Linked DNA regions of Lepisosteus oculatus. The protein of the gene in region 1 purifies or fractionates together with the protein of each later gene. This does not show direct contact. Links are inferred from orthologs where the notes say so. Each region holds a gene or a part of one and is shown on either strand. Other genes may lie near its edges. The genes, in order: tbc1d15, ubxn8 and ubac2.

Region 1 (7,841 bases):
GACAGGAAAGTGAGGCTCCATGCTGCTGGCCTTAGAGCAAGGCGACCTGTCAGAGGCCCTCTGCTTACACCTCCTAGACATCACACCCGACTGGCTTGGGCCAGACAGAGGCTGCAATGGACTCGTCAGCAGTGGCATCAGGTCCTCTTCACGGATGAGTCACTCTTCAGCCTGTTCCACACAGATGGGAGGACCAGAGTGTGGTGGAGGTGTTGCATTTCTTTTTTCCATCAGTATGTTATGTGTTGTTACTGTCATTATTAATAAATATCAATACATTTGTGCAAACCAAATGTATCTAAATTATTTTCACCAAAGCTGTGCGATATGTGGTATAGTGATTCTCACTATTCCAACTGTTTGGGTGTATTCTTGGCAAAATGGTGATGAAAGGCATATGATAATATACATTATAGTATATACATTATTCATGATTAATGTTAGAATCTTAACAACAGAATAAAACAGTGAAAGAGATTTAAAGTATACAGTTCTGCTCTCATTTACACTATAAATAAAGTTTTTCCAAGGAACAGAAACAAATTCCATTCTTCTTACTCTGGAAATGTTGTTCACTATTAATGGCCTTATTTCTCATATGGGTATAATCTGTTCATTTACGTTTTTGTCTCAAACATTGGTTACTAGAGAATTATTCAGATGCCACACTTTTAAAATAAGTCTGAGTTATGCTGGTGATTTCTGAATGTTTCCTTTTACCACCAATGTAACACAAAACCTTAAAACCGGAAAAGCCCTTCCCAAATAACCTACTTTTATTTAAAGCTTTAAATAAAATAGATAAAGCAAACTGCATATGCACAAATTATAATATAAAACGACAATCATGTTAAGAGTTCAAAACATGCAATGGCTGGAATTCCATTGTGCTCATGAAATTTCAATTAATGGGAAGGTTTTCACGTAATGAAGATTGTTTAGAACCTGTTAAATTCAAATTTAATCTATAAAATAATTTAAGATTTGGATGTCAGGGTATACAGACTGTAAACTGAACTATCATTTCTAAATATGATGTCTTCACAAAAAAACATTATGTGAAATAGAAAACATTATAATTTACAAAGAACTATATCCGAGAAGCTTTTAGTTTCTGTACTCAGCTCTTTTTACTTATGCGTCTTAATCTACCTTTTCGGTTACTCGAAGAAATCCTGAAATCAGGGAATCTTGGTCTTCATTTCTTTCTGAATCAGAGTGGATAAAAATCCCTTCCTGTTCATATAGAACCTGCAAGAAAGGAATGAGAAACACATAAGAAACCATGTTTCTAACCACTATTGGCAACGTCAGCAGTGGCATCACTGAGCCTTTGATGGAGGTACACAGCACAAGGCAAGACAGCAATCAGAAAGGGAAGCCAGCCTGTTCTAGGGCACAGACAAGCAGAAAGTACACTTTAAAGACCCCAATTAACCTAAAATGCCTTCAGTAATTTGAAGCAATATGGAACACTTGGATAAAACCCATACAAATACATGTTGAACATGAAAACACCACATTGCAGATACTCCAATCCAGAATCAAACCCAGCTTCCAGGAGCTGATGCAGCAGCACTCCTGCATGATGCATGTTTCCTGCAAATCACATCATGTAAGTGATTATACGAATTATACACACATAGCCATGATGACTCCAACTTTATTTTGCATGTATCGCAGTGAACAGGAAAATGGCAACAGAATACTCAGGGGAATTCACAACAATTCGAAACCCCCTTTAGGCCAATAACTTTTTGGTAGAACTGTTACATCTGCTTTTCCATAAAAGGGAAATGCCACATTCTTTCTCTGAAATTTTTGTGCAAACTCTCAATACATAATGATGCTTGTTGGTGTATTCTTCAGCTTTATGACGCCACTATGCTTTAGTGTTTAAAGCATGAAGATAGGGTTCATGTGTTGTGCGAGAAATACAGATATCGGTGTCTCCAAAACATTGTGTTTTAGCTGACATTTTAGAGGAGAATCTGTTTTGACTTGATGTTTTACTCTATTATTGCTGATTAGTTATCCAAAAAAACAACAACACAGACAACACTTCCTGTTCTTCAAGTAAGGGGTGTCAAGTGTATATTGCATGCCACTGTTAATATATGGCAATATTTCTTGTAAACATCAAGAAAATTGACTAATGGAAAACAGAATAAAGGCTTTGCTACATCCATTGCAATTGTAATGCAATGCAAACAACAAACATCTGGCTGACAACTTAGCAGAGTAGATTAAACAGACATTCAGCACTTCAGAGTAGTTAATTTAACTTATACTGGCGTGTTGTTGTGTTAGATAGCGAGTTGCAGGCCGTTTATCTCCCCATGGCTGCTGTAAATATGCTGGGTACCGACTTAATTCCATGCAGCTTTTCGATTTTTTTTATTCTGTATAAAACAGGAATTTAGGAAGTCGTTTTCCACATACCATAAATAAGCGGGTTATTTTTTCTTGTTTCTATTTTCTACTAAATGCCAACAGCATTAGTGCAAAACAAATACAATCATAACTCTAATGTGAGTTTCTGTTTTCGACAGAGGTGCAGTTGGTATATACTTGCTTTCGTAATAAATTAAAAAACATGAGCATACATTACATGTTCTTTTTTTCTCACACCAGTTTCGGGCATTAGCTATGCTTACAAAAGTGTAACCCCAAAGCTTTGTGCCCGTAACTAAAATACGACATTCAATTAACCAGATAGGTGGCTAGGTATTATGTCGTACATCTACTTGCTTTCGTGGCATTCAAGAGGGAAAAATCATAAAGCTTTTGCATTCACAGGACCCAAATTGCAAAGCAATACACCTCTTTCTGCTTCCATCAGGATAACTATACAACACAAAGCTATTTGCTCTAAAAGGTCCGCACTGTTGTAAAATGCAGTCCACGAGGAAGAAAACTCCTGTTTCACTGGCCTCAAAATACGCGCATTTTGTAAGAAATTATCTCTTCGTGTACTTTTCTTTCTGTACCTTGCCCGCTGCCGGAGCCGCCATGTTGCTCGCTGATGTTTACGATGACGTAGCACCGCTCACGTGTTTTTCAGGGCTCCACAACCACAGAGACAAATCATCTTCCGCGTGGACCGTAGAGCGCCTGCGCAGACCTGCCAGCTGGAAAGAGGAAGGGGAGAGAGAGGGCGGAAGCAGTCCTCACATTTTACTTCTCTCTCCTTGTCAGTTAGACTTGCTGTCGTTACTATACTGATGAATGACATCTGGGTTGGCGGTGGCAGTGTCTGTGCATATCAGATTTTCAAAAGCGTACAAATAGGCATGTCGAGATTTGTTTTTTATACATCTCGTTTACAATTAATATACTAATTTGAAAGTAGCAGAAATTTGAGCCTGGTCATGTTAGCATTAAGGCTAGCCTCAGTAACAATCGACAGGCACGTCCAACCACTTCTTATATTTATAGTACAACTCAAAAAGTATTGGAAGTAATTTTAAGGCAAACATATATACCCTTTATAATTCTTATAATAACTTTTATTCATAAATCACCCTTCCAAACTGGGTGATGTACAAAGTGACAAAACTAAATTCAAGGTGTTATATAGGGCGATTAGGCCTGGTAAAAAGATCATCAAAGAATTTCACTCTTGAACAGTCAGGGGAAGGGCTGTCCATAATAATAGAGCCAAAACAGAAAAGGCACAGTCACCAAAAGCCTGAGATTTAGTCCTGGGAACTAAACTGGATAGAGCCCAGGGGAAGGAGTGTAAACATGGAGGAGTTCAGAGATGTATGAGGGTTTAGAGTCTTGAAAGTCAATCACAAGATCTTATATTGAATATGTCATTTTACGGGCAACCAATGAAGAGACGAGTCACATGTTACTAACGCGTGAGTCAGAAGTCTAGCGTAACAAATACACCCCTGAGTATAACAGGGATCTCAGCCACCTGGGCTGGGGGAGTTCTTATTTAGCTCAGCTGGCAAGTTCCCTGTTGCATGACGCTGGAGACCCGGGTTCGTGCCCAGGCAGTGAGGCATGAACGGGCAGGGCAGGAGTGGCAAGAGCGCAAAAACCCCAAGAACTGTTACACTAGCTGCAGAGTTTTGGACTTTTGCGATTGTTGCAGTGTTTGAAGCAGAGGGGACCACACCCATCAAAAGGGAACTGCTGATGATGTTGACAACTAACAGGCAGGCGTCTGACAGGCAAGCTTCCAGTAAAGAGGTAGGGATGGGATCTAGGCAACAAGAGGTTTTCTTGCAGCTGTTAGCAGTTTGTGTAAATTGATCTGAATTAACTAGGCTTAACTCAGAGAAATCTGGTACAGAGAAAATGTCAATGGATAGTTCTCAAATATCTGAATCAGGAACAAGATTAAGGCTTGATTTATTTATATAATTTTATATAATTTATTTGAATAAATGTATATAATTGATTTATACAATTTATAGCATCAATCTTGGATTGAAAGAATTGCAAAAACATAAGACAGGGGTGGAAGAAAGAGCATATTTGTCAGGGGGCATAATGAGCTTGTTAATAACAGAGAAGAGCACTTCATGATTCCCTAGTCCAGAGCTCACTGTATCCTGAATATAGGAGGATCTGGCAGTACCGTAGACTTGCAGGTGTTCATTATAAGCCTAAGTGCTTACGTGTGAACCAAAAGGCTGTTTTTCTTACTGAAGCACTTCAGACGCTGACCAGTTAGTGGTTCAGGTGTATACCATGGAAAGGAATGTTTGAAGGAAACTGCTAGTACTAGTACTAGTCAATACAGTGTTTAAATTACTGGCTAGGTTAGCTGTTGAAGATGACTAATCTTGTAAAGGGTGAGAACTAAGTACAGCAGTAGAGAAATCAGAATGGTTCTGCCTGTCAGACAGATAAGAGCAGAACCAGTTAAAAACAGTACCACATTTGTTTCAATTGTCTAAAACAAATTGTGCATTGACATCTCTCTGACGAAACAGGGATATGGACGTCAAATAACAAAGGTTTGTGATCATCCTAGAAATCTGCAGGTCAATGTCACAAAAGGCTTGGTTTGACTGATCAGATCGTCCACTTTTACAGAACACTGTAGATCTTTGTAGATGTGGGCTCAAGTTCTGATGTAAATATGATGAACTATACAAGCATAAAAGCTATGGCTACAATCACTTGGAATTGACATACTGAAGGCCAAATTGGAACATTCTACTTACCTTAATCATCACAAATCCTCTGCAGCAGCAAAATTATTATTTAATTGCAGAGTGCACTATGTCTGTAAATCTAGAATAATGATCTATTTTATTAGTAATAAAATTGATAGAAAAGGCAAAATGAGAATATTGGATCCTGATGAATCCAGGGCATTACTAATTCACACTGATATGCAGTTTCATATGAGGCATTATTCAAGAATAGCTCTGAGTTTTTAATGGTATTGCTGTAGGAGGAATTACTTCATAGCATTTTTATTGAATACTGAACTACTGTTGGAATCTGTATTTGGATAGATTGAATTTTTTGAGTGAGAGGTCTGTGGCTCCCAAAATACAGAACATCTTACATTTTTATTATTCATTCTTAGAATGCCTAGAAAAAAATAAAGAAAAAAGTCTCCAGCTGTTAATCTGATAGGGGCAGCTTTGACGTAGGGGCAGCTTTGACGTTTCATTTTAGGTCATTGTCTCTTTGCTCTGATTTTAATGCCAAAAACGATGTCGGATCAAAAGATTTACTAAAACGTTCCACAGCTGCACCTTAAAAAAGGCTAAAATCTGAAACATTTCAGGAACAGCATGCTGACTTAATCTAGATCAACACGTGTAGGTACACTTTTCTGTCTGTGGCCTCCTGAGTGGTAACTCAGCTGGTAAAAGTGCTCAGCCAAGCACTGATTCAGCTGTATGATCAAGGTTTCAAGCCTGGGTCATGTCACTAGCCAACTGTGACCAGCAATCCTAAGGCAATGGCACACAAATGGATGAGTACCACCGAGGACAGGGTGGGATCAGTCAGTCAGGACACTCTTATTGACACAGTGACCACTGCAGCCTCCCAGGCTCTTGTAGGCATGTTGTGCTATCAGTAGTGGAAACACCTCTCCTAATTACTGTAACAGTGAACCTCCAGTACAGGACTGTGATGCCTGTAAGGTGTTAAAGGATGAGTGTCTGAAAGGTACAGCAGGTGGGACTTTCTTCTGTATTGTAGCTGGAAGTGGAGATGTGAAAAATACACAGTTGGATATTCCAGATAGAATTTAATAGGTGATTCAACATCATTGTTTTTCTAAATCTTCTTTTTCTGAATCCTGTAATATGTTGTTTATGGTATATAAGATGATCTGTTGGAGTCTTTTATTAACTTATCATATCTCTCTTAAATGTAATATAGCAAGGCTAGTAAGAAAAATAGACACACAAAGGGTACACTAAATTCTTTGACTAAGCCATGATCATGAAATGTGATCTGCTTACTTATGGAGTCCTCTCAACTACATTTAACCATTTGGTATATTTGGCATTTATTGTTTGTGATTTGTGTCGTGCTGGATATATATTAGTTCCCAACCTTCAACAGAATTGTTAGACAATAGAAAAGCTCCAATGTGATTTTCACAGATTTACCAACATTTTATCTTCACAAAGTGATCGTCCTGATCTGATTCAATTTCAGCGCCCATCAATCCTTGGCCTCTCATTTGAATAAGCCTACACAAGAAATTCAGACGCCACCTAGCATGGGGATTTTATAGTGTTGAATGATATCCAGGAAGAGCTAAACTGACAACATGGAATTAATTGCGAACTAAGATGGATCTCAATCTGGGCCACTGGAGACAGAGGTTTATTGAAGTCACATGCTATACATTGATAAAGACTGCTTGCTCAGTTTAACATGAAGCACTGAGTTCTATGTATGTTGCCTAGGGCAATAACAGGATAATTTGTATTTACTATACACCAGGACAGCGTTTCTTTGTAGAAGAAGCATTGAATTAGTCCAGGTAGCTGCTTTGGTTTAATAAACAGATTACAATCAAAAAACAAAAATGAACGGAATATAGCCTAACAAACTAAATCTCACCAAAAAGACACAGATCATATTTTCAGGAAAAATATAGATTTACAAGATGATATCGCACAGTATACTGTGCCTCAGTGAATTCGTTCTAAGCATAGTAAACTTTTACTAGCCCAGATAAAGGACTGCACAAATGTAAGGGCACATTCTATTTTTCTGAGGGGAAGTAAAATGGTTTTCAGAAGGTTACACTAGTGAGAACTAATGTGAAAATAATTCAAACATTGCTGCCTGGATATAGGTCATTTCTTGCTCACTAAATACCATTAAAGCATGTTTATGGCTTTCATAGAATTGGCCCTTGCCCTGGCAGTCACTGTTAAGTAGTGCTAGCAGGATAATGAAGTAATGTGTGTACCATAATGGCACTGTGCAGCAAGCAGGCTATTTAACACATTAATTAAAAAAAAAACATTTCATGTAGAATATAACTGTCATTTCAATATCTTAGATGGTAGACAGATATGCCTGCCGACAGACAAACACATTAAAGATCTGCTTTCTCTCTCTCCCGGGGGTGTAAACAGATGAAGCATCTAATTTAAATTTCATTATTTACCATCTCAGAGGAGGGACTGAAGCCCATTTTCTTTTCTCAGAGGCACCAGGATCTTGGGGTTTTTTTTGTGAATAAATAATTCACGCTCTTTCACGCATACACAAAGACACACATTAAGGGGATTAAGAGTTGAAATTGCTCCATTTTCAGTCTATGATTGTGATGTCTGGCTCTAAGCGGTGTTTTGCTGGGAAATGCCCTTTTTTTTCCATGGGACTCAATTCCA
Region 2 (7,405 bases), on another chromosome or scaffold:
GGCCTTGTTTCCAAGTGCTGCCTTTTTGAGGCTTAGCAACATACAGCAACCTTTTGCACCTACATCTAAAATCTAAGGCTCTTGTTCCTGGAGTTGATGTTTAAAGTTTCCAGACGAAGACACACAGTGGGATGGCTCTGGGATCTAAAATGATCTGGGACTACATATTCTCTAAAGCCACACCTGATTTCCCCTTTCCCTTGTGTCCTAAAGTGAGCTCCTATCCTCACCCGAAGTGCCTGCCCCGCCGACAGCTTCCAGAGTTCCCCAGTCATCCTGTACAGCTTCTCCTGCTTCTTCCTCAGCCTGGACTCCTGACGAGGCCTCAGCACAACCTCCTGATATGTGGAAGCCTAATACGAAACCAAGACGAGGAAAGGGTTAAATTTGCAGTTAAACTAACGGATTTGTTGGACAGCAGATTGTCAGCAGATTGTTTTAGTACAGCGAATAAAAATAATCCCAGATTTCAGATACTTCCAGTTCCAACCAGAATGGTTGTGGGAGTGTGGAACAAGCTGCCCAGCCATGTTGTTGAAACCGATGCTTTGGCTTCCTTCAAGACCTGGGATCAATGAACCACTATTGAAAAGGGTCAAATGGCCTCATTTCTTTTCTAACTGTTCTTGCATTCTTACATTTACAGTTTTCTAAGGAATTAAAAATGTATACTAAGACCACTGCATACTCCCGTAGACAAAAGACAAGCTACAAAACTTGTCATAAAATAATAAAACGAGACTAGAGATTAAAGTATTTAATTTACAGTCCTATGTGCATTTGTAATTTCAGCAGTACATCGCCTACTGTGCTAAAAAGTCCTAACTGCCTCTCAGACTGTACCTCAGCAAGAGGAACAGAGCCATAAGGTTAAATTACTACGCTCACATCCTCATGTCTCAAGACTGGAGAGGAGCTCTCAGTCACAAGCATTCCTTTAGCAATGACTTTTTTTTTATACATGCTGCATCATGATAGAAATATTTCTGGCACTGACACACGTCTCACTTTGACTAACATATCTGCCTGTCTGCATACAGATAAATGAGATTTGGATACTAATATCCTTGCAGTGTAAACAGCACTGGGAAAGAACTGCAGGGACTGACTGTATTGAGCAAATGGCCTAAAATCACCAGTGCAAAAACGTCAATCGTACATGACCCAGCATGTACTTTCTCCTGTATTGTAGCACCACAGACTATTCTGACTGATACCAGGGCAAAAATAAGACACTTTGAGTCCATAACATTCCATTCCTGATACATGAAAAACCTGTTGAACAAAGCTTTCTTGAACCACGAGAAAAGGCTGAACACCGCAGACACCCACCTTCTCATTGTGTTTCTCCTGTTGTTCTTTCCTGGCCTTGTCCCGTTCCCAGTTCGCTTCATCTTCAGGTACTTAAAAAAACACATCAAATGCATATTGCATCAGACTCTTGGTGCCAAGGGTAGTCTCTGTGATTATTCAAGGTTATTAAATAAAAAGTAAAGGAAAAAAAGGGCAATGTTGGTAAAATACAATACATTTCAAACCCTGGCTGCACAGAAAGTCAGTGATAACCAATGACCAAATGTGTTGCGATGAAGCCGGTACTATTGCCTTTCTCGTGGGAGCCGAGAGGTAAGTCTGCGAGTATACCCAGAGTGTGGAGTGGCTGACGCTGACCTTGGGGACAGACCAGGTGGAGAGTGGACTGGAAGAGGGATCTCAGCCGTGGAAACACTGCCGACACCAGCCACGTAGCCAGAGCCAGCACCAGGAGCCCTCGCCCGGCCAACAGCAGCACGCGTCTCACACCTGACAAGACACACGGGATCTCCCGTTACAACAGGCAATCGCAAAGAATAAGTACACGTCTGAGCGCTCAGGTATGGACGAACGCACTGGGCTGAAGACCCAGTCCCTGGCTGCAGGACCGCCCAGCAGAGTGAGCAGATAACTAGGCTGTAGCTGCAAAGGTGGTGGGGAGGATATCCGCAACACAGAAGAAAATGAAAAGAGAAGTTTACTTATGAGATATACACATGCACCTTTTCCACGTAACGACGCCTCGGATGATTAAAATTTCGAAGAGCTAGAGTGAAAGTGAAGGGGCAAGGTTTTGCGACTTCTTTCCAAACGATACTTCAGCTGGAAGAATATACATTATTTGCATCACTGGTCGAAAATAACATTTTTATTAAATGTCTCGGACAAACTCATTATGGCATTATATGCAAAATTGCATGGAATAAACCTTTACTTGTTCCTTTGCAGCCTAAGCATGCTGACGCAGCTACCTACTTGAACTACTTCAACCCAATTATTAAAAAGACATGTACAAAAGCTTCGTGTCTTCCTCTCAGACATTTTCTTTTATGAAATTAATGTTTCATAATTGAAAGTTTATGAAATTTTGTTTCACATTAATAAAATCAAGCAAGAACTTTAAAAATAATAAATGCATGAGAACAGTGATGATCATCATGTTACAAAACAGCTTTTGGTGTGACAATTTCATAGGCAGAAAAACTGCAAAAATTAGAAACTATCAATTACCGAGACAGTTCAGATAAAAATATAAACGTTAATTGTGAAAGGAGCCTGATGCTGATTTTTATACATCGGAAAATTGGTGTTCATGGAATCCTTCAATATTGTGCGAATTTATAAAGTTGAAAAGCTATAAAACTAAATTACGATATTTATATTTATGTGCTGTGATATTGCTTGGTACGTATTACAAACACACTTCCATGAATAATAATAAAAAAGCGAAAGAACAGAAACAGGTCAAATAAATTATTTCACGTCACTAAACAGTTACTAAGACGGAGACCTTTTCTTACCAACATTAGAGTTTTTCCACAAAGCAAAACAATAGAAAGACAGAGACACTATTCCGAATAGTGCAACTGTCTTAAGCTCAGCCATCCCCTTTACAATCTGATTTAATTAGCGAGTATTTTTAAGATCGCTGTATGTAGTTCCCCATTGCTCTTCCTGATTGAAACGCGTATTGTAAGCTTGGCACCTCTGGGAAATGTAGTTAAGATTACTGAAGAAAAAAATCATTGCTGCCCTCTAGCACCCAAAAATGGGATTTCTTGACTTTTCTTCCAAGGGTGCATCACTAAAGAGCAGAGATACTGTATACCTCAATGTTTAAAAAAAGAGCTTCATATCAGATACAGTATATATTAGAAAATATTAGTTTATATCAGATACAGTATTTAATTTTTATTATGTATGGCTTAAAGTCATACATAATACATAAATTCTGGATAAACTAATGGTGCCACTGGCTCACACTAAGCATTTTTTTTTAATTGTTTAAAACAGTTTTGTCTGTTGTAGGCTTGTTTTTTATTAAACTTTTTGATTCTGATCATACAAATCTTGCTTCAACAATGAGGGAATCCTTCAGTCTGAATCAAAGTTTAAGATGCGTTTAAACGGTAAAGGTGATTTATTTATGCAAGACACAATATCATTGTGCCAGCAGCCATATCACCCTGTAGCTCTCAACTGCCTACCCGCTGAAGCTAAGCCGGGTTGAGTGTGGTCAGTACCTGGATGGGAGACCTCCTGGGAAGCTATGGTTGCTGCTGAAAGTAGTGTTAGTGGCACCAGTGGGGGGCACCCACCCTGTGGTCTGTGTGGGTCCTAATGCCCCGGTATAGAGGCGGGGACACCATACTGTAGTGGGTGCTGTCTTTTGGATCAGAAGTTAAACCGAGGTCCTGACTCTTCATGGTCATTAATGATTCCCAGGCATTTCTCGATATGAGTAGGGAGTTATCCCAGTGCCCAGGCCAAATTTCTCCCCTCGGCCTTTACTGTGGCCTCCAAATTGTCCCCATGTATGACTGGCATGGACTGGTGCCCCGTCCAGGGTGTACCCTGCCTTGTGCTCGTTGCTTGCCAGGTAGGCTCTGGCTTAACACGACTCCATTATGGTATAAAGCGGTTTGGTAAATGACATGACAATATCATTGTGGGGATCTTCAGCAAGGCTGTTAACATTTAAAGACCCCCGACCCAAAAACGAAGGCTCAGATATAATAAAGACAGAGATGTAGGAAAGAATTTCTCTAAATATGCAGCAATAATATGGTAGAAAGGGCAATGGAAAGGCTGTGAGAAAAAAATGCTGAATTCTGTCTTTGTGGCATCTGCAAGAAGGAGAACAAGTCCCATAAAAGGAATGTATTTTTGTAAGTGAAATTATAAAAATGTGCGAAGTTGAAAATATCAGCTGTCCCTTACACTCCATTAAACCACACTTGATTTTTTATAATTATGTTTTTTAATAAGTTTCAAAACATTTAGTGCAACCCCATACATACGTGTTTACCAAGTGTGTCAATATATACTTGTAGTATAAAACATACTTTAAAGCCCATTTTGTTTTATTGCAAAGTCATCGTGTTTCAGGAACAAAACTCTCTGGATGTCAGATGTGATGAGAGTGAAGATACGTGTCTCGGACAGGACTGCAGGTCAACACTGACTCTGTCAGAACACCAGTGGCTTTGATTTTTCCCAGGGAAATTCTTCTCTCCCAAAGTGCCCATAACACGCCGTTTTCTGATAGATGGGTCTTTTCAAATTGAGCTCCCTGTAGGAAAAATTAGATAGCTTACCACAAACTCACACAAAATCTAGCCGCCATAGAAATAAAGTTAACAGATTCTTAGGTTTACAGATTCCAGCTCTAATTTAAATACATTTCTAACCTAAATACTGTGTACGTATTTCAGATTTTTATTATTATTATTATTTTGGGGCGCAGACTGCAACTGGAAAAAGCATTTAGATGTTTTTTTTATGGGTATTCCACACACTTCCCTGAATCTTGAAATGTTTCTCAGAAAAGATCCAATTCCAGTGCTTGAGGACCCCAGTCCATCGTGTTGTCACATTGTCGGTTTAATCAACATTAAACCCAAGACAAAAGGTTTAATATGGTCTAGTTAAGGCTTAACTGTACCACAAACCTTCAAATATGTTAGGCAGTGCCCTTCAAGGCCAAAGACCTGCAACAAACCCTGCCACAGACAGATCTATTCTTGAGATATTATTTTCACATACGCAGATATCCCACAGACAAGCGGGACTGACAGACGTTTTTATATAATAATACAGTATTTGACAGCCTGTCGCACCTGAAACAAACCTTTCACTTTGTCTTGCCACATCTTTTCCAGTGTATGTGAAGAGCACGGATATTATCAACAGAGTGCTGATGACGACAGAGCGTCTCACAGGGGAATCATTTGTGCCTAAATTGACATTTTATACAGTATCATGTTCTTGGTTCCACCACAGCTTGGTGGAATAAGTTATTTGCTGCATTAGTTGGTTAATAATAATAATATAATAAACTTTATTTTATATAGCGCCTTTAAAGGTGGCTTCTCAAAGCGCTTTACAGGATGACAATAACAATAAATAAGAAGACTACAACAATAAATAAGAAAATTTCACAAGACAGGACACAATTATAATTACAACAATACAACAATAACAATAGAGGAGACCGTGGAAGATGGTATTAAGAAGAGCAGAGGGGTGAAGAATGGAAGCAGTTAAGTAAAGGCTTTTCTGAAAAGGAGGGTTTTGAGTCTGGATTTGAAGGAGTTTAGAGAAGGTGACTCTCTAATATCCTTGGGCAAGGAGTTCCAGAGCTTGGGGGCATAGCAGGAGAAGGCCCTGTCGCCCATACAATGTAGACGGGCTTGGGGGACAGTAAGGAGGGCAGAATTTGAAGAGCGGAGGTTGCGAGGTGGGGAGTAGGGCGATAAAAGTTCAGACAGGTATTGAGGTGCCAAGCCATGTAAAGCCTTGTAGGTGAGCATGAGGATTTTAAAGTCTACGCGGAATTTGACCGGAAGCCAGTGCAAGGACTCCAGGATAGGAGTAATGTGAACACTTGCACTAGATCTGGTCAGGATTCTGGCTGCTGAATTTTGGACATACTGCAGCTTGTTCAGAGTAGATTTAGATACCCCAGGGAGCAGAGCATTGCAGTAGTCAATTCGAGAGAATACAAATATGTTGATCAGCTTTTCAGCCACAGTAAATGATAGCATAGGGCGTAGTCTTGCGATATTTCTAAGGTGAAAAAAAGATGTTTTGACAGTATGCTGTACATGTGGGTCGAATGTTAAGCCAGAATCGAATATAACCCCAAGGTTTTTCAATTTTGATTGGAGCTCAAGTACAGAGCCATCTACAGACAGGGTTACAGGACTGGCTTTACGAAGTTGATGGGGGGTACCAATAAGCATGACTTCAGTCTTGTCACAGTTAAGATGAAGGAAGTTTTGAGTCATCCAAATTTTTATGTCAGAGATGCAATTAGATAGAATAGAGACAGCCACATCAGTGTCGGGTTTGGTATGGATGTATATTTGAGTATTGTCAGCGTAAAAATGAAAGCTGAGGCCATGTGATCTTAAAAGCTGACCAAGTGGGAACATGTAAATGCTGAAGAGCAAGGGGCCCAGTATTGAGCCCTGAGGGACACCAGACTTGACAAGACCAATTTCAGACCTGTACCCATTGAGAGAGACAAAGTGACAGCGATCAGTGAGGTAAGACTTAAACCATTTGAGGGCAGTGTCAGAGACTCCAAACACAGTCTCGAGACGAGAAAGTTAAATATGATAACAGTTACTAAAAGGGATAACGGTTAAATATGATAACAGTTACTAAAAGGGTCCAATGTAAGAGGTTGTACTAAATTCTGTCCAAACAAAAACTATTACATCAAAATTAGCATGGGTGAAGTTTTAAAATCTGTCTCTTTAAATTATGACAGCAAATAATTCAGCTCAGTCAGTCTTCTACATAACATTAACTAAAACCCAGAAAGAAAGGAAAAAAAAACAGACCTAACTATGACCCCAGGTCGCAGGTCAAAGTTTTTCTTCACTATCTCCAGCAGCTCATCTTCATCTCTAGTCGAGGTGCCATAATGAAAGATTGCGATGGACAGCGGGTGGCTTATTCCGATGGCATAGGAGATCTATTACAAAACAAGAGAGCAAAGGAGAAAGGTCTTGTTGCTTTTTTGTACTGTAACCTTTTTTTAACATTTTCTTCCATGCAGCTGCAGGCAACTACCAGAATGTTCCAAAAAGCACACTGCCTGCGAGCTTAAATGAAGAAATCTCGTTTCTTTGGCAAGGACAGCTCTCACAGCTCAAGGTCCCAATTGTACAACATGAAATTCACCCCCTTAGAAACACACTTCCCAAGCAACTATGGTGAGAGCCCTGGACGTTGGTCAGAGTATTCGCAGTCTCACGAGGTTATTTTCCAAGTCCCTGTCTTCTGAAGAACAAACTGATTCTGAAATACAACCCTGCTTTTTATCTTTGTCACGGATGTCGGAAGGGACAAACCGTGGAGA
Region 3 (7,610 bases), on another chromosome or scaffold:
GTAAACTAGCCAAGACTAGTGAAAACTGTAGTAGCAGAAAGTGAAATTCAGAAAGGTTAACATAAAATTCCAAGACACTTGGCAGATTAAATACAGACCTGCATAGTTTTGCATGCAAGAATAAAAACATAATAACTACAAAATGGAAAACACTGAGCTAGAAAAGACTATTTTTTAGAAATACTTTGGTGTTTATGTTGGTAACATTTAAAGTTTTCAATGTGGGAAAGCAATTTTAGGAGACAAGATGTTCAGTAATATTGCTTATTGTATTTTAACATGTACTACAAATCATCAAAGGCATTAAAAAAGTCAATGCAGTGGACTTCTTCTGAATTGGTTCAGGTGGGTAGCTGCGTCAGCATGCGTCAGTGTGCGTCAGCTGCAAAGGAACAATAGGTTTATTCCATGCTGAAAAAAAGGAGAGAGAAAACACAACGTTTCGGCCGTGGAGCTTTCTTCAGGTGTCAAGTCAGGTCTCTTGTTTGTAATCTTTCTTATGAGTCTTATGATTGACACCACTGAGAAACTAGCCTATTATTGTAATTTGGCTGCTTGCATTGGGCTGTTTACCGAAATTTTAGCTTCAGTACAATCTCTACTGTTAAAACAATTCGCCTCCACATGTGAAAAACAATTAGTAAAACAGGTTATATTGATTTATTAATACTTACAGCAAATGTATTTGTATTTAATATACTATATATTCCCCATATAGTTAAGGGGAATTCCACTTTCATACCATGATACCACTGTTTAGAAAAAAACAAATATTTTCTTAAATAGCCAAAAGGGCTTATATTTACCAATTAGTGTTTTTTGAAACAGTATAGTGTATTTATAAGATAAATTAATCATTAAGAATCAGTGTATGTGAAATAATAATTGAACTCTGGATTATTTAGCACATTCAAAGAAGTTATTAGAATCAGGTTGGAAAATAATTGGGTGACAAGTAAACAGGAGTTTAGGCAGTCCCGTTCTTAATGATGTAAGAAACCATTAGATAAAAGGTAGCTGATGCTCAACAGTCTGGACAGAGTTATAAAACCATTTCTAAACATTTGGTGTCCCTTCCCCAAAAATGAAATATTTAAGTCCACTGTGACTTCCCAGGTCATCCTGCCAAGATCTCCTCATACAAGCCCAGAAAATCATCCAGGAATCACAAAGAGCCTCAGAGTAACATCTAAGGATCTGCAGGCCTCTCCTGTTGCAGCTAATCACAGTGTTCGTGCCTCAGCCATCAGTACAAGACTGAACGGGAATAATGTTAATGTGAGGATATCCAGGAAGAAACCATCACTCTCTGAAAAGAATGTTACCTCCTGTCTCATTTTTTTTTTCCAAAGAGCAACTGGACGAACCACAAGACAACTGGAAGAATGTTCTCTGAATAGACATGTCAGTTGAACTTTCTCAGCACAATGAGAAATGTTTTGTGTGGTGAAATTGAAATGCTGCCTTCCAACTAAACAGCCCCATCCTGACATGGTCAAGCATGGTGTTGAAAGACTCATGGTTTAGGATTCCTTGACTGCCTCAGGACTTGAATGGTCTGCCACCAGTGATGGAACCATGATTATGGCAGACGATTAGCTGAAGCCGAAAGTGAGCCATGCAGCAAGACAATGATCCTAAACATACAAGCACATCTGCAACAGAATGGCTGAAGAAGAAGAAATTTCACATTTTGGAATGTCTGGAACTACATCCCATTGAAATGTTATGCCAAGACCAGCAGCAATCTGTTCGCATGAGGAAACCCTGAACTGTCACTGGCTCGAAGCAGATGAATAAAGAAGAATGGGCTAAAATTGTGAAAAGTCAATGCAAGAGGCTGATAAACAGTTAAGCAAAAGTCTAGGTGGAAGTCGTTGCTACTAATGCTAGCTCTCTGCACTTCAGAGTCACATCCTTGACCAGTCTGAGAAAGCCACAGTGTTTTCTGGGATTTTTCCAGCTGAGCGCTCAATAGCTTATTTTGGATCAGAAAAATTGCTTAAATACCAGTTAACTTGCTTCCAGATTGCTGCTTTCTGGCCTTTTAAGGCTGCCGATAAAACCTACAGGAGTTTGGCTCTCTAGAACCCCATGGTAGACTCTCCCTAGCTTCAGCTTCACAAAATCAACTGAATTTTTAAGCAGAGAAAAAACAACTTACTAGAGAACTGACATTAGGTACAGTAATGTTTGAAAATAAGTACACAATGTGGCAATCAACAACCAAAACAAAAGGTCTGAAACAAAAACTGTAATGAATTATGTAGTGTTTTTAATAAACATTAGGCACGGTGTTAGGAGGAATTCTGCAAGTAACACCACAGAGGGCAACAGTTCTTTACAAACGATTTACAGGAATTCAATGTCTTACTACAACTAAACGCCTCCATAGTAAAGACTAGAGAAGACAGGGCTCTGCTGGCAGCTGACGTACTGTAAAATCGTATCGCTCTAACGTGACCGAAACTAATCATGCCAACTGATACAGTAGAAAATACTCTAAATACAAATGCTTTTTTTTATCATACTGTAGGTAGAATTCGTCGTAACAATACAGTTTTTAAAATAACGTCGGACCTGGGGCAATCCCTTTAAAAAATACTAGAGAAACGCCATGGACAAATCTAATGCCTAAACCCAAAGATCATGTCATAAACTACGAAATATGTGTAAGGCATGCACTGTTAGCAACCGCTTGCTTATTAAAAATAAACTAATATTAACAATCAACGAATGAATGACAGTGCAGAGAACAGTAACTTGTCAAGTTAAAATATATCATTAAAATAACTCACAGAGCCCCGTTGAGCCAGTGGTCGTAAACATGTCCCCAAAGAAATCAGGCTTCCGAGGAATGCAAACAACAGGAGTATAAAGGCACTGATAATTAAGATCAAAAAGTTGAAATAAAAGTTAAAAGTAAAAAAAAATAGTGAAGGGTGAAAAGGTAAAAGATAACCAAGGAGGGTAGCCTGGCAGGGCCAAACTTCTTCACCATACCGCCCTTCGCAAAGAGGAAAACGCGTTCGTGAAAAACGTTGACAGCGACATTCTATTGAACGTGAAGTAGTTGCATTTGTTATCGCAATTATCATTCTGTTCCTACTATACATCCGGTAGATATAGAAAGCTACCAGAAATGCTAAATCGTAGCTGTTGTCTAGGGCTTTCCTTTTTCTGAATAATATGTTTAGTTCTCTTGCCGCTATGGTAATTCGTTATTAAGAACCGTGTTGAGCAACATAGTTAAATAATTAAATTAAAAAATATCCTGTACTAAAAGTAGTAATGTTAATATACATTGCTCATGGATAGAAATGGGATATTATTATTATTATTATTATTATTATTATTATTAAAAAACTGATAGCTGTAATAGCATTAATCTTAACCTGTAAGAGCGATGTATACTAAAAGCAGATGTTGAATTGAAATTAAGTTCTTAAAAGTTTAGTTGTTCTGGTTCTTAAAATCTATAAGACTTTCTTAAATAAACCCTTTGCTTTAATTATTATATTAATAATAATTGTATCATATTAATTATTGTTGTTGTTGTTGTTGTTGTTGTTGTTTGCTTTAATTATGATATAATTATTATTATCACAACAGTTTTTAAACTGAAATTCTGAGCCGAATTAGTTTTTGTTTGCACTAGTTTTTGTTCCTGTAGTTATAGAGGGCGATTTCCCTATGCATGTAATTCATTATGCTGTCAGAAGGTGGGACCATTGCGCAAGAGTTTGTCTAGAGTTTGTAGCACTTTGTCTCTTAAAATTAAGAGATTCAGACATGCACGTTTTTCGGGTACATTTGACGTCTCTAACTTTAATACAAAGATCTTTCTGATAAATTACTTCAATATGAAAACAATACATTTTCTTTATAATTTGACAATAAAAAATAAATGATAATAAATATGCAATAAAGTGCTTAGACTGTTCATTGTTCAAGAGTTTTTCAGTATGTTTAAGACTTTTCAGACATCTAGTAGATAATATTGTGATGTTCCAATACGTTTCTCTCCAAAGTTGTCGTATCCAATTCAGTATCCACTAGAAATGTGTCTCACCCTTCGAAATGCGCAAGCGTCGTTGAAAATTTACCCTTTCCACTCTCGGTGACGCATGAGTTTTCGCATCATATATAAATTATTTATATAATACATAAGGACAAAAGATGCACATAGCCTTTATGTTCTGTAATTCGGGTTGCTCTCGGTTGTGTAAAAATAACTTCAGTTTTAATTCACCCGGTAAAAATAAAATACTATAATCCCTAGCATACACATTTAATACACCGAGAAACCGATTTAAAGAAGCATAAAAAACGGGTTTCGTTTTTTATCCATATCGCAAAAAAAAAGGAAGAGGTAATTACATGCACGCCGTCTAAATCATCAGGTATCCTGGAAAGTTATGCAGAACCCGTGCGCATTTGGAAGGCGGGTACAGATTTCTAGGGGATACGCGCTTAGGTATTATACTTGATACCTGTAGTTTCCCCTATTGCTGCACGTTCTTCCACTTCATGTTTCGCTGTGTGTAAAAATCCATATATCGAAAAAAGTGTGTTGGCTTAAATGGTTTCCATTCGCTACTTAAACTTTTTGCGGGAGAGATTTAATTGAAAGAGATGACAAAGTGAAATTCTTTAAAATGTTTCGAGGAAAAATCTTTATATTTTGGCATTTTCTTTTTGTGTGAGTGTTTTTGTGGATAATAGTTTGCCCTAGAGTGGGATCCCTATTTGCACTTACAGTACTTTCACTTACATTCTGAAAATCTTTAGGTTTCCCCCCAAAAAAGCACAACAGCACATACTGTACACAGGTGTGCCCAACAAGCAGAGAAATGCAAATAAAAAACAAGATAGCAGTACAAGACATAGTGCCAGGTGAATCGTCATAAATTAAAAGATTTCATACGTGGAAGTATACAGCAAAATGCGTCTAAATTATTAACGATATTAAACATTTAATGTGATTATTGACTAGCAATCCTACAGTTAGCCCAAAAAGAGCAAAGAAACAAAATGGCCAACTAGTTGCAGCACGTTAGTTAATCATCCCTCAGGCACAATGAATCTTCACGTTAATGAAATCGTCCAGTATTGATAAATACAGACCTGCCATGTCTTGTTTAATTTGGCATGTATGTATAAATCATACATCTTATAGATGTTTAACTCTTAAATGGATCGTCTTAAATAGCACCGCCTTTTTCACACTGCATTTCTAGATGCAGACAGTAATTGCCTTATGGTGTGGTATGGTGAAATTTGCCCCTTTGAGTGTGAGTATGCAAAGTTGATTTTTTCACTCAGAGCTCAAATTTTACTGTGTTCTTTTTCCATGCACCCATCCACTCATTTTCAACCGTTTCATCCAATTCAGGGTCCCAGTGCAGCTGGAGCCTGGCGTTCCTTTTCCATTCAAAATTAGAGTACTTAATACTACATTAATAAAATACGTGCCACTTTAACCATAAAGTGTCTCACCTTAATACTTTTTGCTAGGAAACACAATATTCCCTTTTTATTTCTTACACTCATCTTGACCTGGATCTTTAGAAAAAAAATAAAACCAGACATATCAATAGCTAGACAAAACGTCTCATTCCTATCATATTACATCCACATCAGTTCTTCTTATGTTAGACTCAATGTAGGCCTAACTAAATTACAGAAATATTTTTGTTCACATTTCGTATTGTCTCACATTGCAGGACATATGTTATGCATAGTTCATTTGCTCAGCTTTTATATATATACTTTTTTTTTACTTGTAGATTAACTACAATTTACAGTAGAAAGAAGAAAATGTGTTATGCACAGTGAAAAGGATTGATCCTACTGTAGCATATCCAGGTTCAGCAGCACTCCCATTTAAAATAACACAGTACACCTTACCAGCAAAGTAATTTAACAACAAGGCAGCAGAGATAATATTAATACTAATTAACAAGTAATGTCTTGATTTAAATGCTGTCACAGCAAATTCCTCCCTTCAGTTTATATTGTTTTTTTTACAGAAATAGGTGTGGCCTATAAAACTAGCCCCAACCACAAAACACAAAAGATTCCAAATTCTTTACATGCCTGTTTGACAATGCGTTGCTTTTGTCTGCAGCTGTTCAGAGGACAGGTTTGCAGGTGATGTTTCATACTAAAAAAAAGGACACACGCACTGATAGTCGGACATAACAAAAATTCAATCCAAAACAAACTATTATTTAAAGCACCTGGAGCTACAAATGCCTTTTCATTATAGGCCGTAACATAAAAAACAACATTTTTGGAATCTTGAAAAAATAAATCAAATCCTAAAATGTAAAATTTAAACAAGAAATGGGATTGGAAAAGTAGAGGCCTGGTTTTAAAAACAATTAAAAGTGTAGTCAAGATTTCTAATGTGTTGAGAGTTTTGCTGATGTTAAATCTAGGTGGATGCACTAATATATTTTGTTAAACTTTATAATAAATATGTATTTTTTCTTGCAAACTCTAAAGAAGCAGATTATTTATTGCTAATTTATAGACACTATGCATTCACCTACAACTGGAGTGGTGGCACTGTGGCTAAGGATCTGTGCCTGTGGTTGGAAGGTTACTGGTTCAAATCCTACTGCTGGCAGAGGAGTCTTACTCCATTGGGTCCCTGAGCAAGCCCTTAACTCCAGTGGTGCTGTACAAATGGCTGACCCTACACCCTGACCCCAAGCTTCTCTCTCCATGCCTGTGTGTCTCATGGAGCCCAAGCTGGGGTATGTAAAAAGACAAATTCCTAATACAAGAAATTGTATAGGGGCCAATAAAATGATCTTATCTTAACCCTTTGGCTAAAGAACTGCCATTTACTCAGTTTTAAATGCAGTTCCACATAGTTTCCACTTGTGCCCTCTGGTTTGTGTTTCACTGTTCGCTTGGATAAAAGGCACAGGCAATGCAGTGGAAGATTTGGAAGTTGTATTACAGGGCATTAAACTCTGAAGGACTTGAGTAATAAATGGAATTGGCATTAGAAGGTGGTGCAGTGGTCTGCATTAGTTTCTCACAGTGCCAGCATTGGGAGTTCCAGGTTGGGAATATGTCTTTGTGGAATTTACATGTTCTTCTTATGTCTGAGTGGGTTTTCATCAGGAATTCCAGTTTCCTCCTGTCTCCTAAAGACATGGGGGGCAGGACTCTAAACTCTCTCTTAATTTGGTTATTTAAGGTGGTTTTACAATTGGAGTTGGGTCATTTCTAGTACTAGACTATTAAGAAATAGAACAATAAGGATCAGGTGATTTCCTCTCATTTGTAGTCTTTCCAGTGTTTTGACTGGTATGGATGTCCATCCATTCTCAATTACAGCTTAGTCCAATACAGGGTCATGGTGAACTGGTGTCTAACCCAGAGTAACACAATCTTGCAGATACTGTTGCTCTTTTACTTTCTCATTTTGAAGAGACCAGCTTCTGCAGTAATGATATGAAATAAGCAAATCCAAGCACGAGCATCATCACTGAAGCACTTACTGGCAGAACAACTGTGGTGCTGCAGTTAAAATAGCTTGTTATGAGTAAGATAAACCCAACTTAATGCAAACTTTAATATCTGTATCGTAA

The links.
Region 2: the proteins of tbc1d15 (region 1) and ubxn8 purify together in Homo sapiens (affinity purification with mass spectrometry; 3 studies listed by BioGRID and IntAct, counting the BioPlex papers as one, with this or other methods). This does not show direct contact. The link is inferred for Lepisosteus oculatus from reciprocal best matches to the Homo sapiens genes TBC1D15 and UBXN8.
Region 3: the proteins of tbc1d15 (region 1) and ubac2 purify together in Homo sapiens (affinity purification with mass spectrometry; 3 studies listed by BioGRID and IntAct, counting the BioPlex papers as one, with this or other methods). This does not show direct contact. The link is inferred for Lepisosteus oculatus from reciprocal best matches to the Homo sapiens genes TBC1D15 and UBAC2.

The regions. Positions count from the first base shown.
Region 1 is NC_090702.1:22,594,422-22,602,262, forward strand, and holds the start of tbc1d15 (TBC1 domain family member 15), read right to left. Parts: upstream 3,061-7,841; 5' UTR 3,015-3,060; coding exon 2,991-3,014; intron 1,252-2,990; coding exon 1,153-1,251; intron 1-1,152. UniProt on the Homo sapiens protein: Acts as a GTPase activating protein for RAB7A. Does not act on RAB4, RAB5 or RAB6.
Region 2 is NC_090698.1:27,356,456-27,363,860, forward strand, and holds the start of ubxn8 (UBX domain-containing protein 8), read right to left. Parts: upstream 3,012-7,405; 5' UTR 2,920-3,011; coding exon 2,835-2,919; intron 1,804-2,834; coding exon 1,645-1,803; intron 1,404-1,644; coding exon 1,333-1,403; intron 354-1,332; coding exon 231-353; intron 1-230. Other genes in the region: mat2al (methionine adenosyltransferase II, alpha-like), read right to left, coding at 4,504-4,606, 6,885-7,018. UniProt on the Homo sapiens protein: Involved in endoplasmic reticulum-associated degradation (ERAD) for misfolded lumenal proteins, possibly by tethering VCP to the endoplasmic reticulum membrane. May play a role in reproduction.
Region 3 is NC_090710.1:6,082,090-6,089,699, forward strand, and holds the start of ubac2 (ubiquitin-associated domain-containing protein 2), read right to left. Parts: upstream 3,025-7,610; 5' UTR 2,830-3,024; coding exon 2,799-2,829; intron 1-2,798. UniProt on the Homo sapiens protein: Restricts trafficking of FAF2 from the endoplasmic reticulum to lipid droplets.